Linked DNA regions of Macaca mulatta. The protein of the gene in region 2 binds, or shares a complex with, the protein of the main gene of each other region. Links are inferred from orthologs where the notes say so. Each region holds a gene or a part of one and is shown on either strand. Other genes may lie near its edges.

What was found. Proteins that work in one complex are often made in the same cells at the same time.
Region 1: the proteins of STX12 (region 2) and VTI1A are in contact, whole or in part, in a crystal structure (PDB 2NPS), measured with the Rattus norvegicus proteins. The link is inferred for Macaca mulatta from reciprocal best matches to the Homo sapiens genes STX12 and VTI1A. Residues at the interface, in NP_075228.2 of Rattus norvegicus: Glu185, Ile188, Gln189, Leu191, Glu192, Ile195, Leu196, Val198, Asn199, Phe202, Lys203, Leu205, Ala206, Ile209, His210, Gly213, Ile216, Asp217, Glu220, Val223, Glu224, Ser226, Glu227, Val230, Glu231, Ala233, Ser234, Asp235, Leu237, Gln238; in XP_038945999.1 of Rattus norvegicus: Arg131, Arg134, Ser135, Arg138, Leu139, Ala141, Gly142, Ile145, Ala146, Glu148, Thr149, Ile152, Gly153, Met156, Asn159, Leu160, Asp163, Arg166, Arg169, Ala170, Arg173, Leu174, Glu176, Thr177, Asn180, Leu181, Lys183, Ser184, Ile187, Leu188.

What each region holds. Positions count from the first base shown.
Region 1 is NC_133414.1:124,808,246-124,814,102, forward strand, and holds part of VTI1A (vesicle transport through interaction with t-SNAREs homolog 1A), read left to right. Parts: intron 1-1,343; coding exon 1,344-1,414; intron 1,415-2,062; coding exon 2,063-2,124; coding exon of another isoform or gene 2,125-2,128; exon of another isoform or gene 2,129-2,135; intron 2,136-5,857. UniProt on the Homo sapiens protein: V-SNARE that mediates vesicle transport pathways through interactions with t-SNAREs on the target membrane. These interactions are proposed to mediate aspects of the specificity of vesicle trafficking and to promote fusion of the lipid bilayers.
Region 2 is NC_133406.1:213,166,290-213,172,798, reverse strand, and holds the start of STX12 (syntaxin-12), read left to right. Parts: upstream 1-3,015; 5' UTR 3,016-3,029; coding exon 3,030-3,147; intron 3,148-6,509. UniProt on the Homo sapiens protein: SNARE promoting fusion of transport vesicles with target membranes. Together with SNARE STX6, promotes movement of vesicles from endosomes to the cell membrane, and may therefore function in the endocytic recycling pathway.

The DNA.
Region 1 (5,857 bases), on a different chromosome or scaffold from region 2:
TACCTTATTAAACTCTTACAACAAACTCATGATATAGTACTATTATTATTAATATTCCCATTTATGGATAAACTGAGGCACAATGAAGTTAGCCACACAGCTAGTAAGGGCCAGCACTGGGATTTTGGCTCAGGCAGTGTGAGTTCACAGCCAAAGCTCTCAATGTGGCCTAACTACTGCTCTACATTTTTAGGGTGTCCTTTAAAAAAAAGCCTAGCAGTGTACATGTATGAGCCAAATAACTAGCATGGTGACTTCTTACTGACTTCATTAAATTATTTCTTATTATTATAATAGGTGCTTGTTTGAATGCTTCTATATGTCTATAAGCCAGAGATGATTGTTGTTATAGGTATGAGTAAAGAGACAATGCCAGAGGGAAAAGGAGAGAGAGATGTAGAACAAGGTAGTCAGATAGGTTGCCAAGATTATAAGAGAGGCATCCTTCTAGTATGGAATAAGGCACCTCCCAGGTAATGGGGAATGAGTCTGAAAACGATTTATTCAAGGCAGCTGGTTATTTATGAGGTCAAGCCATACCTACTGTCTTCTAAAAGGGTCTGCAGATTGGAGAAGAGACTGCCTAGTGTCAACCAAATAAGATGATCATGGCACGGGAAAACCTCATTAAAACTCAGCAGTATGGCTTTTTAATGAATGTTCTAAATTGCCTATAACAGTATTAGGGTTTCAGAGTTCTGGGGTGAAAACACTGTCTCCAGCATAAGCTCTCTTCTACTTGAGAAGGAATGCACCTCACCTTGAGTTGACTCAAGTACCTACAGCTGCTGATAACACATTAAATGAGCCCTTGCCTTGAAGAGAGCAGAAGCCTAGAGACAGTTCACTACCAATAAGCATATGTAGGTGAGCGTATGAGGATTACTTGTGCAGGGCGAATACACTAAAATTAAAATTGTTCTAAATGGAGTCTGACATACATGTGCAAAATGAAAGGGGAAAGGGAGAGCAGAATCATTAACATTACTTATAACCTGTAAAAACCAACAGCTAAATTCCATGATGACAAAATAGACTAATGGACATCAGATCTCCTCCACCTTTGCTGACATTTGCTGGAGTGGCCTGGGCAAGACATCATCTCTAAGTCATTATTCTCATGTTGGTTATGTTCTATAGGTCAAATATCTAATTATACCTAAGATAAATAGACACATTTATCAAATACTGTTTATATTTTTCAAATACATGAATTGAAATACGTGTCTAATGTATAATGCATGCATGCTACTTTAACATTTTATGTCATTTGGGTACTCCTGAGAGTTATTCTCATGTGCACTCCGAGTCATTTTTCCTTACTCAGATTTTCTTTTCCATAGAGCAAATTGGTCAGGAGATGTTGGAAAACCTTAGTCATGACAGAGAAAAGATACAGCGAGCACGTGAAAGAGTAAGTACAAGTGATATAGTTTTTTCACATATTCAGTAAATGAAGACATAAATGAAAGGCATTGGGACATAAACAGTAGCAATTAGGTAGTTATATGTATCTAAGGTGAAAGAGGGTGTAAGGTCTGTGGAAAGGAAAAGAAAGAGAGTGACATGGAGCAAATAGCAGCCGACTCTATGTCCCCATCCCAGAATGCTCCCAGGTGGGTATTTTATTTACTTCTTATAGAGGAGAAGGTCACTGAGGGAGATTTTGGAGTATGTTCATCTTTTAGAGTGAAACTATAGAATTATTGGTGGTCATCTTTTCTCAATTCATATTATTTTTATGTTTTTAGGACTGCACATTCATAAGTTGGAGATGAATTACCAAATGTTTATGAAACTTTTTCAGCCTGTGCTTTGCTTTTATATCCAGTTCTAGTATCCAGCTTAAAGCTCCCAAGATTACCTCTCATGTGTCATTCTCCAAATATAAGAATTTTCCATGTTTGTGTAGCTGTCAGAAATGTATTTATTTTTGTATATTTGAACATTTTTATTGTTTGGATTTTCTACCGTGAAATAAATTGTCACTTGCCATGCACTTTAGAAATAGTCTAATTGCATGAACTTTTGTTTTGTTTTAACATTGCTGTTCTTCTTGTAGCTTCGGGAAACAGACGCTAATTTGGGAAAAAGCTCCAGGATTCTGACGGGGATGTTGCGAAGGTAAGAGCAAGGTAGGGACCCATCTTTCTCTCTGTCTCTTTTTAAAACTATTATGTTTTCATTCAATTGCAACGGGGCATATTACATGCTTTTAAGCTTCTGCTCTTAGTGCCCTGTGTCAGGACCCGTTTGAAATAATAAAGCACTGATATTAACTCTTGTTTGGACAGGGACACATAGTAACACAGATTAGAGAGAAGGCTTGAGCTAGGGGGGTAACCTGAAGCTATGGAAAAAATTAGGGTTAGACATGAAGTGTTTTTTCATAGCCTGAGGAAGGCCCCATGGCAGGAGCAGGCTGATTTTATTTTCTATTTTGATGGCCTCCTTCTTATGGAGGGAATGCAGACCTACCATTTTCAGGAGCACAGTTGCTGTTAGTTTTGCTCTGTGTTGCCTTGTTTTCATTTCTTTAAGTGACACGGTTTGGGGAAACATTTCTGTTTTATGTATACACTGAAAGATGATTTATAAAACGTCAAGATTATCTGAATAATATGTGCTAACAAACAAATGTTCATGTTTTATATGTGTAACTCAACCTTGATTGATGAAAAATATGCTAAATAGTATGAGAAAATAAATGAATGAATGCAGGTAATGTTCTTATAAGTACATTCAGTACAAAATTATTTCACATTCAGAATCTACCACATAAGAATATCATCTAGCATGACTGTCAGTTTGGAACTGTGGATAGAAAAGTGAATGAGAAACATTGAGAATGGCCTCTGGAATAGCTTAATTAGAATTTTGAAGAAGGAAATCTTTATAGTTGATACTATAAAGACAACCATCTAAAAATAACTAAAGTCTTCTTTGATCACGTATCCATATACAATAGTTTGCTAAAAGTATGTTTGCCGTGTTACAGATTTATTACATAAGAATCAATCAAATGTCTAGTGGTTTGGTCTTCAAGACTGTTAAGATTTTTCTAAGCAGCCTGACCAGTAGCAAGCTTAAAGTTCCTGGGACATTTCCAGCCAAGGCTTGCATAATATGACATTCCTTCTCATTTTCTTGGACCCTGACTCCCAACTCAGAATCATAAGCCATCACATTCTCTGATTAAGAGTACTAGGTAAATGGCCTAAGAAAAACTCAGAATTCAGAGAGAAGGGTAGTGGTGATTGAAAGGAATGCTTCAGTGCCTATAGACAATAAAAAAGAAAGGAAGGGGAGGGAAAAACCTCTGTTGCTTTCCTGGGAGGGCTCCTGCGTCGTGAGCTGTAACGAATATTCTGCATATGTCTCCATTTTGTCAAATCTCATTAAAGAGTCCTCCTGCTTTATGTCAATTGAGCTGTCCAGAAATCATTCATCATTTTTAGTGTAAAAAAAATGATGTGGTTATTTAAATAATATCATATTAATGTTAAAGTTCAGCTGTCATTTAATGGTATGGCTTAATCAGATGTAGCATTTAGGAAAAATAGTTTATGCGGGCTCCACGTGGCTTTCAGGTTGGCAGATTCAAATAAGGATTTATGGGTTTCGAAACCCATGTATTTCTGTCCATGTTTCTGCTTGATGTACCTCACCCTTTAGTGCAGGACACTGCAGACAGTTATTTCAACAAATAAAGCATCTCCTCATATTGTGTTTGAATAAATTTGCAAGTCATTTAGAGAGGGCGAAGCACAAACAACTTCGACAACCTTTGACTGGGCTTTCTGTAGGGAAATCATAATAACGTGGTTGTTTCAGAAGCCTACGGAAGAAAATTACTCTGGTGAAATCTACATGGGGTTCTCTTTGTAAGCAAACTCAGTCAATCACTGACTCATCTTCTTTTGGGATGTGTCTAGAGTATGAACAGAAATAAAAATTCCCAGATGGACATCACCTTGCTACATCTGAACCAAGGGTACGCTTAAGTCCACCTGTTCATATGCATGACAATGTTTTTCACTAGGCACAGCTGGGATCTTGGTATCAGCCAGGATATTCAGATATTTTCAACCAATGCCTTGACCTGGCAATGGTCTCTGGGGACCAAATGCAGTGGTGGTTTTGTTTTAGTTTCTAATTACTGCCCCATATGATATACAATGTATTTTGGACTTGGGAAAAGGTACAAACATTTTACCAACCTCTCTGCTTCATTATTTTGGTTATCTCATGGAAAAGCTCTCTGCAGAGAAATAGAGGCAGGGTTTATGTACCAAAGCCTCTTATTGAATGCTCTGATTTTGCTTTCTCTGTTACATCCCTCCCATTCATTCATATGGCTTTCGCTTCCAGCCCTGGTGAGCTTGTATTTCAGAAAGAAAAGCCACATTCTCTTACTATTCTTCTTACCAAAACTGCATAGCTATGTCGTGTGTCAGCAAGCGCTTCTGATTTAGGAAATGCTATGATATTGAATTGTGCTCATCTGCCACCTTCACAAATGTGTAAAAGAAATGAATGTCCTCATTGTGCAGTGCGAGCATTTACCTGCATATAACATAAGCTTAATTATTTTCATATGATAAATTCTGTGTGACTGAAAATAGTTAAATATTCTGTAGTATACCAAACCAAGGAATTGCTTTGTTTAAAAGAAATATTGCAGGTTATTTTTTAATTCTTTTAAACCTTGATTGTTCTCAGATTTGTAACGTGAGCAAAAATGGCTTGGCATGGCTCCTCATTTGAGCCATTTTACGTATGGTCTGTTGTGAAGACAGGTGAAAACACTGTTCCATTGGTACCAAGATCTGTGCATATGTCCACTTGATTATCTGTAAAACTGACCAAAAGGAGTTGGGGAAATCAAAATGAGTAAGCAACAAAATTAAGTTTATAAAATCCAGCAGCCACTAAATAATCATCTACCACTCATGCTTTTTTATCTTTTTTTAAACTTCAAATAAGATAAACATCTATTTCCTTCCTTCTTTCCTTTCTTCTTTTCTTTATTCTGCTTATTCATTTCCTTAGTAAATATTTACTGTCTGTACACCAGGGCTGGGGATCCTGAAATGAACCCAATTTTATCCTCACTTTCACAGTACTTTAGTGTAGTAGAAGACATATGCATAAAAATGTACCATGGAAATTCACAAAATTAACAGATTCTCAAGGCATCTATTAAAGATTCCACAACTCCAGTTAGTCCTTGCTGGTCATTAAAAGGGACACGAGGAAAACAAATAACTAATAAAAAAAAAATATGAGTTAAATGGCTATAAAGCCAACATGTTTGGAAAAAAATAGAGAAATAGAAAATGGCATATGGAATCATTACAAACAAATTTTGAAAAGAACTAAGGTATGCAAAAAAATTGACATATAATATGTAATTTAGTGAGATAGCAACTGATTCAACCAAAAAGAAATTGCTCTTTGTGTAAACACGCCATATTACCAAAAGGAAGAAAACAAAAGAGAAAATTAGTCAATTCAAAGTTATAATAGTAAAAGTCCACATCAGAACACAGCTATGACTGATTTCCTGGAAAGTAATTTTTCTTCTATTCTGACATAAGATGGAGAGTTATCAAGGGACAAACTGTTCATTTCCTAACTCTGTAGACAGAGTTTACATAAAGTAGAATTCAGATAATAATGAAAATGGTCATGAAACAAATGACCATTTATGTTGTAACTGGGTCCAATAAATGGATTTTTTCATTGACTTTCACAAAATTTGATTTTTATAATTGGCTGTCTTAAAGTGTCACAGTATCACTAGGAGGCTGAAATGTTTCTCTTCATATGTATGTATTGATGTGTGTGTTTGTGT
Region 2 (6,509 bases):
AAACCCATGAAGACTACCTTCGTTAATTAACAAAAGTATGTAGTGCTAAGATACATTTTCTCTAAAGCCATAGATTTTTAGAAAATGTGTTGCTCAAATTATCAAGAAGAATGGAATATACCACTCTTACCTGGAGGATCAGTTACTTTGATGCAGAAGAGCAGCCTCAATTTCTAACGCAGGTGCAGAGCTTCAGATAAGGGGTTTCCAGACACAACATTCCACATTTATCTTGGCATCATGGTTTCCAAGGAAACAGGATCTTGTTAGCTAGGGCCTGATGATAATCCCTTTACACATAGCCTGGTGTGTTTAGGGGCTATCAAAACACTGCTTCTTTAAAAATTTATCTACATTTCTTTCCCCCAAATCCTGGAATAACTCACTGTCTTCCTGTGTTTTGTGACACGCTGCATGATTCCTTTGGCGTGCAGTTTCCCTTGCAGCAGCAAGTTAATAAACTTAACTTTTTCTGACTACAGGTGGTCTTTATCAGATGGGTTTTATCTTGGAGATTACTGATAATGTACACAAAATGTGTTCATACTGCCTGGCACCTAAGAGGCATTTAAGAAATGATAAAATTATTATTTTTATTATTCATGTGTTAATCCAACAAATGTTTGTTTGACATCCAGTATTTGCAAGGCACAGATTTACTGCTATGAGAGATGATCGCTACAACCTCCGCCTCCCAGGCTTAAGCTACACTCCTGCCTCAGGCTCCGGAGTAGCTGGGACTATAGGCTCAGGCCACTGTGCCCAGCTAATTTTTGCATTTTTGGTAGAGACATGCTTTCGCCATTTTGCTCAGGCTGGTCTCGAACTCCCGAGCTCAAGCAACAATCAGCCTGCCTCAGCCTCCCAAAGTGCTGGGATTCCAGTAGTGAGCCACCGCACCCAGCCTTAAAACGATTTTTATTGTACATGGAGAAAGAAAACAATATTTTTAATTCCTATAAGAAAAATACCTTTACTGAACTTCACTTTATATAGTGTGAAATGTAAATTTAAAAATTATCAGGACTATCATATAGGTTAAAAAGTGCAATTTACATGACTTGCTATAAGATTTGACATAAAACTACAGATTCTAAGAAACAGTAAGGTTGTATAATAATAACCAAAACAGGCCGGTGCGGTGGCTCATGCCTGTAATCCCAACACTTTGGGAGGCCAAGGCGGGTGGATCACCTGAGGTCAGGAATTCAAGACCAGCCTGACCAACATGGTGAAACCCCATCTCTACTGAAAATACAAAAATTAGCCGGGCTGTGGTGGTGCATGCCTGTAATCCCAGCTACTCGGGAGGCTGAGGCAGGAGAATTGCTTGAACCCAGGAGGCAGAAATTGCAGTGAGCCAAGACTGCGCCATTCGACTCCAGCCTGGGCAACACAGCAAGACTCCATTTCAAAAATAAAATAAAATAACCAAAACAAGAGCCCCCGGATGTCATCCATCTCTTTCTAGAGAGAGGGAAAAAAATGCTCTCAAATTCTCCAACGAAAAATAGAGATAGCCACCCTTAAAAAATCCTAAGGCTGGTGGTGATCACTTGAGCCCAGGAGTTCGAGACCAGCCTGGACAACATGGCCAAACCCCATCACTACAAAAAATAGAAAAATTAGCTGGGCGTGGTGGCGCACGCCTGTAGTCCCAACTACTTGGAGGCTGAGGTAGGAGGATCTCTTGAGCCCAGGAGAAGGAGGTTGCAGTGAGCGGAGATCATGCCACTGCACTCCAACCTGTGTGACAGAGCGAAACCCTGTCTCAAAAAAAATAAAATAAAATAAAGAAAAAACCCTAAGGCCATATACAGGCTCATTCACTTGGGGTCTCCTTTCACCCAGGCAAGCAGCTTTCCGTCTTTGCATTTTCCAAAGACTGCAAAGCAGGCTGGGGTGGGGTGGAGAACACAGGAAACAGCCAGTTCCCCTTCACTTCTCACCATCTTGATCTCCTCCCAAACCAAAATCCTATGTCTTTCCTTTTAACATACGCTTACAGAAATGCAGTCTTCTGTAGGAAAATTGAGGTCATGCATTCCAAAGTATTTAAGGGTATGATTTTTAAATTTTAGGAATCTAGTTCTCCAAGAAATCCCGGTTTGGGATATAGATGAACGAGCTATTTGGGAGAGATTTCGATGAGAATGAATTTTAGAGAAGTAGCAAGGTGAGGAGAGAGTCAGCTTAGCGTTTGGCTTTTGCAGTCAAACTTCAGCAAGGCGAAGTAACCTCGCTGGTCTTAATTTTCTCATCGGTAATAGGGAAAATAATAATGCTAACATTGATGAGTTACTTTACTTCAATATTTAAAAAACCGACTCTCCGCTATCTATTCTAATGATAAAAATGTAGACAGAGCATCGTCCCTTGCTGTGAAAAATCTTATGAACAAGTGAATTGCGGTGAGGATTCACACATAGTATGTGCTTAATAAACATTATTATTTTATTGTTTAGATTAGAAGAGGGGTGGAGGGAGAAATGAAAGCGGTTTGGAAACCCCAAATACTACCAAAACCCTGGGGACGGAAGTAGAGAGGAATTTCGGGTTACGATTTGGTTCCTGGTCTGAGTTTCAACGTTGAATACTCCCATATTTGGGCCTGAATTCTCAAAACAGAATAGGATGTAAGGGCTGAGATCATCTGGTACAGTTTTATGCAAATCGAAAATTCTTGCCTCTTGTCAATGTGCCCTGGCGAGAAACAACACCTCCACCCAAGCTCATCCAATCTCAGCCCCAACTAGGTGACGTCATCTCTCCGCCCCGCAACCCCCAAGCCCCAGGCAGTCCTGTCTCTAAGATACAGTCCCAGCCCCAGTCCCAGCGGCGCCTGCGCACTTTGAACAGGGGCGGGGAGGACGCGTGCGCGCTGCGTGGGGGCGGGACTAGTGCGCACGCAGCCTTAGCTTCTTCCCCGCCCTTGCTCTTCCCAGTTTCTCCGTCAGCCTGCGGGTCCCGGCTGGCGGCTGCTTCCGGTAGGAGAGTGGTGTAGGGCGAGCAGGTCTCAGCTCCTCATCATGTCATACGGTCCCTTAGATATGTACCGGAACCTGGGGCCCTCAGGGCCCCAGCTCCGGGACTTCAGCAGCATCATCCAGACGTGCAGCGGCAACATCCAGCGGATCAGCCAAGCCAGTGAGCCGGGGTACCGAGCTGGGGGGCGGGAGCTGTCCCCGGGACAGGCCTGGGTGAGACTGTCGGGTCGCGGAGCCCGGCTGGGACTACGGCCGAGGCCACACCTGGGGCTGTCTCGGGCTGTCCACCCTGGGGGCGGTGGGCTTGCCTCCCCCAGTCTGTCAGGCCCGGGCTGCCCGAGGGTCCCCGGCCCCAGCTGAAGCTTGAGCTGCTTCTCTGGAGTTCTGCCCCCACGGTTCTGGGACCAAAACAGCCCGAGGGTGGGAAGGGGAGTGTGTGTCATCTCGAGAGCTGTGAGTGCGTTGACTTGGCGCAGTGGTCAGCCGAGTTTCTCCTGTCATCCACCTTCCTCCCCACCCACCTCGCTTTCCTCTTAGGCCAGTTTGGATGGGGTTGTTTACTGATTTAGGCTTTAGGTTTACATTCTGCTCAGCCCCTGGCTCCTCGGAAATCAGCAACTTTCAATTAAGGGAAGTGGAGAGTGCATGTGTTTGGATGACTTCATACACAGTTCTTCCTGTAATGAATTCGGAAATCAGACACAATGACTGGTATTTGAGAGGTGGGATGACTTCTGTTTTAATAAAGATAATTCACCAGCAACATTTCAACTTACATTATTTTGTCTTTTGTAACAAAGCATTGGGGTGTATTTTTGGATTTCAGGCAGATGAGGCTTTTGTTTTCCTTCCCTACTTAGCTGCTCTTGAACAAATCTGGTACACAGGGAAGCTAAGAGACTTAGCCACAACCACAGAGCAAGTAATGCATGGTAGAGTTGTTGGTGGAATTCAGAATGGTATTGCTTGTCTTAAAACTCCCTCCTCCCCATTAGGGTCTGAGTGAAACTGTAGCTGAATGAGTCAAATACAGGGTGTTTCTTGGGCTTGAAAATCATCTTGGAGCCTTATAAACAGGAGATCAGCAACAGCTTTACTTGGAAAGAATGGTGGTCATCATCCTTATTGTTTATTATTGTGTTTTGTGAGCTTGGTGTACTCTGTTAATAGGTAGAACTAGTTAGTCCTGAATTACAATTCTGTATTTTAAATAATATCACTTTGCTTTAGTTTTTAAACTTTAAAAAATTTTTCTTTTTTGTAGAGATGAAGTCTTGCTGTGTTGGCCAGGCTGGTCTCAAACCCCTGGGCACAAGCACTTCTCCCACCTCAGCCTCCCAAAGTGCTGGGATTACAGGCGTGAGCCACTGTGCCCAGCCTAATTTTTTTAATTTAAAAAAATTAAATATTTTAAATTTGTTTTTAAGAGATGGAGTCTAGCTCTGTCACCCAGGCAGAGTGCAGTGATCTGAGTGAAGTAGAGCGATCCTAGCTGGCTATAACCTTGAATTCCTGATCAGCTTGCTGAGTCGCGAGGACTACAAGGATGCATCTACCATGCCAGGCTAATTTTTAAATTTTTTGTAGGGATGGGGTCTCACTATGTTGCCCAGGCTCACTTTGCTTTTAAATCTAAATGTATATTGTAGAATTTGAGAAGTTTCTGATCAAAAGCAGTTGAGACTCTGGAAGTGAAAGGAAGGGTATGTGACCTCTTAAAATCCAGAACTAAAAAAAAATAATATGACCACTGGTTAGAAAGTGTAGTACTTTTTGTTCCAGTTTCCTTTTGTGAAGGAGCTGTAATACAGGTTAGATCAGAAAATTCTAGTTCAAGGCTGAAATTTTCTTGTTGAAGCTAAATCTGATTTTAATATCTATTTGCAAAATATTCATTCAACTTGTATTCAATATTATATATATCATATATAATATTATATTTAATATATAATATAAACATGAAGATGGATAGATGGATACATGTTGAATGAATATTATATACATGCTGATATATATATATATATATATAAAACCAGAATACTCCCAAAGGTAGATCCAACATACATTTTAAAATTTACATTTAAATTTTTGTTTTGAGACAGGGTCTCACTCTGTCACCCAGGCTGGAGTGCAGTGGCATGATCTCAGCTCACTGCAGCCTCAGCTTCCCTGGCTCAAGCAGTCCTCCTGCCTCAGCCCTACAAGTAGCTGGGACTACAGGTGTGCACCACCATGCCCGGCTAATTTTTTTTTTTTTCTTTTGAGATGGAGTCTTGCTGTGTCGCCCAGGCTGGAGTGCAGTGGCACAATCTCCGCTCACTGCAAGCCCCGCCTCCTGGGTTCACACCATTCTCCTGCCTCAGCCTCCTGAGTAGCTGGGACTACAGGCGCCCACCACCACGCCCGGCTAATTTTTTTTTTTTTTTTTTTTTTTTTTTTTTTGAGACGGAGTCTCGCTCTGTCGCCCAGGCTGGAGTGCAGTGGCCGGTTCTCAGCTCACTGCACGCTCCGCCTCCCGGGTTTATGCCATTCTCCTGCCTCAGCCTCCCAAGTAGCTGGGAGACGGGGTTTCACCGTGTTAGCCAAGATGGTCTCGATCTCCTGACCTCGCGATCCGCCCGTCTCAGCCTCCCAAAGTGCTGGGATTACAGGCTTGAGCCACCGCGCCCGGCCAATTTTTTGTAGTTTTAGTGGAGACGGGGTTTCACCGTATTAGCCAGGATGGTCTCGATCTCCTGACCTCGTGATTCGCCTGCCTTGGCCTCCCAAAGTGCTGGGAATACAGGCATGAGCCACTGCGCCTGGCCCATGCCTGGCTAATTTTTATATTTTTTGTAGAGATGGAGTTTCACCATGTTGTCCAGGCTGGTCCTGAACTCCTGTTCTCAAGTGATCCACCCACCTTGGCCTCCCAATAGGCCAGGATTACACATGTGAGCCACCACGCCTAGCCTTCAACATACATTTATTTGAGTATGTAGTAAGTGTAAGAACTGGCATGGATCTTTCAACAGAGAACCTGCAGAGTACATAAGCAAAATATAAAGTTAAAAGGGATTGGTGCTATAAAAGACATATAAATAACATGAAGGTATTCTGGGGAGAGAGAGATTGTTTTTAATTGAGAAGGCATTATGGCATTTGAGTTATGTCTGGAAAGAGGATGGAAAGATTTGGACCTTTGAAGGTAAAGAGAAGACATTCCAGGAGGGAATAAAATGAACAGGCATCATAGTGGGGAAGCATAGGGTATATCTAGAAGAGTAATTTAATTTGGCTAGAGTGGTGGATTCCAGAAAGTAGTGGGAAAAAAAGGACTGAAAGGTAAATTGGGGCCCAAACATGAAGGACGTTAAATGCTAAGCTAAGGGGCTTGGATTTAATTCTTTAGGAAAGTGTGAGTTGAATTCAAAGGGAGAGAGACTGGAATCAGAGATACCAGTTAGGGCTGTGAACATGAAGAGAAAGGAAACGATAGGAGAGGTTTCCTTGGTGATAGAATTGGTAAGATTTAGCTATTGA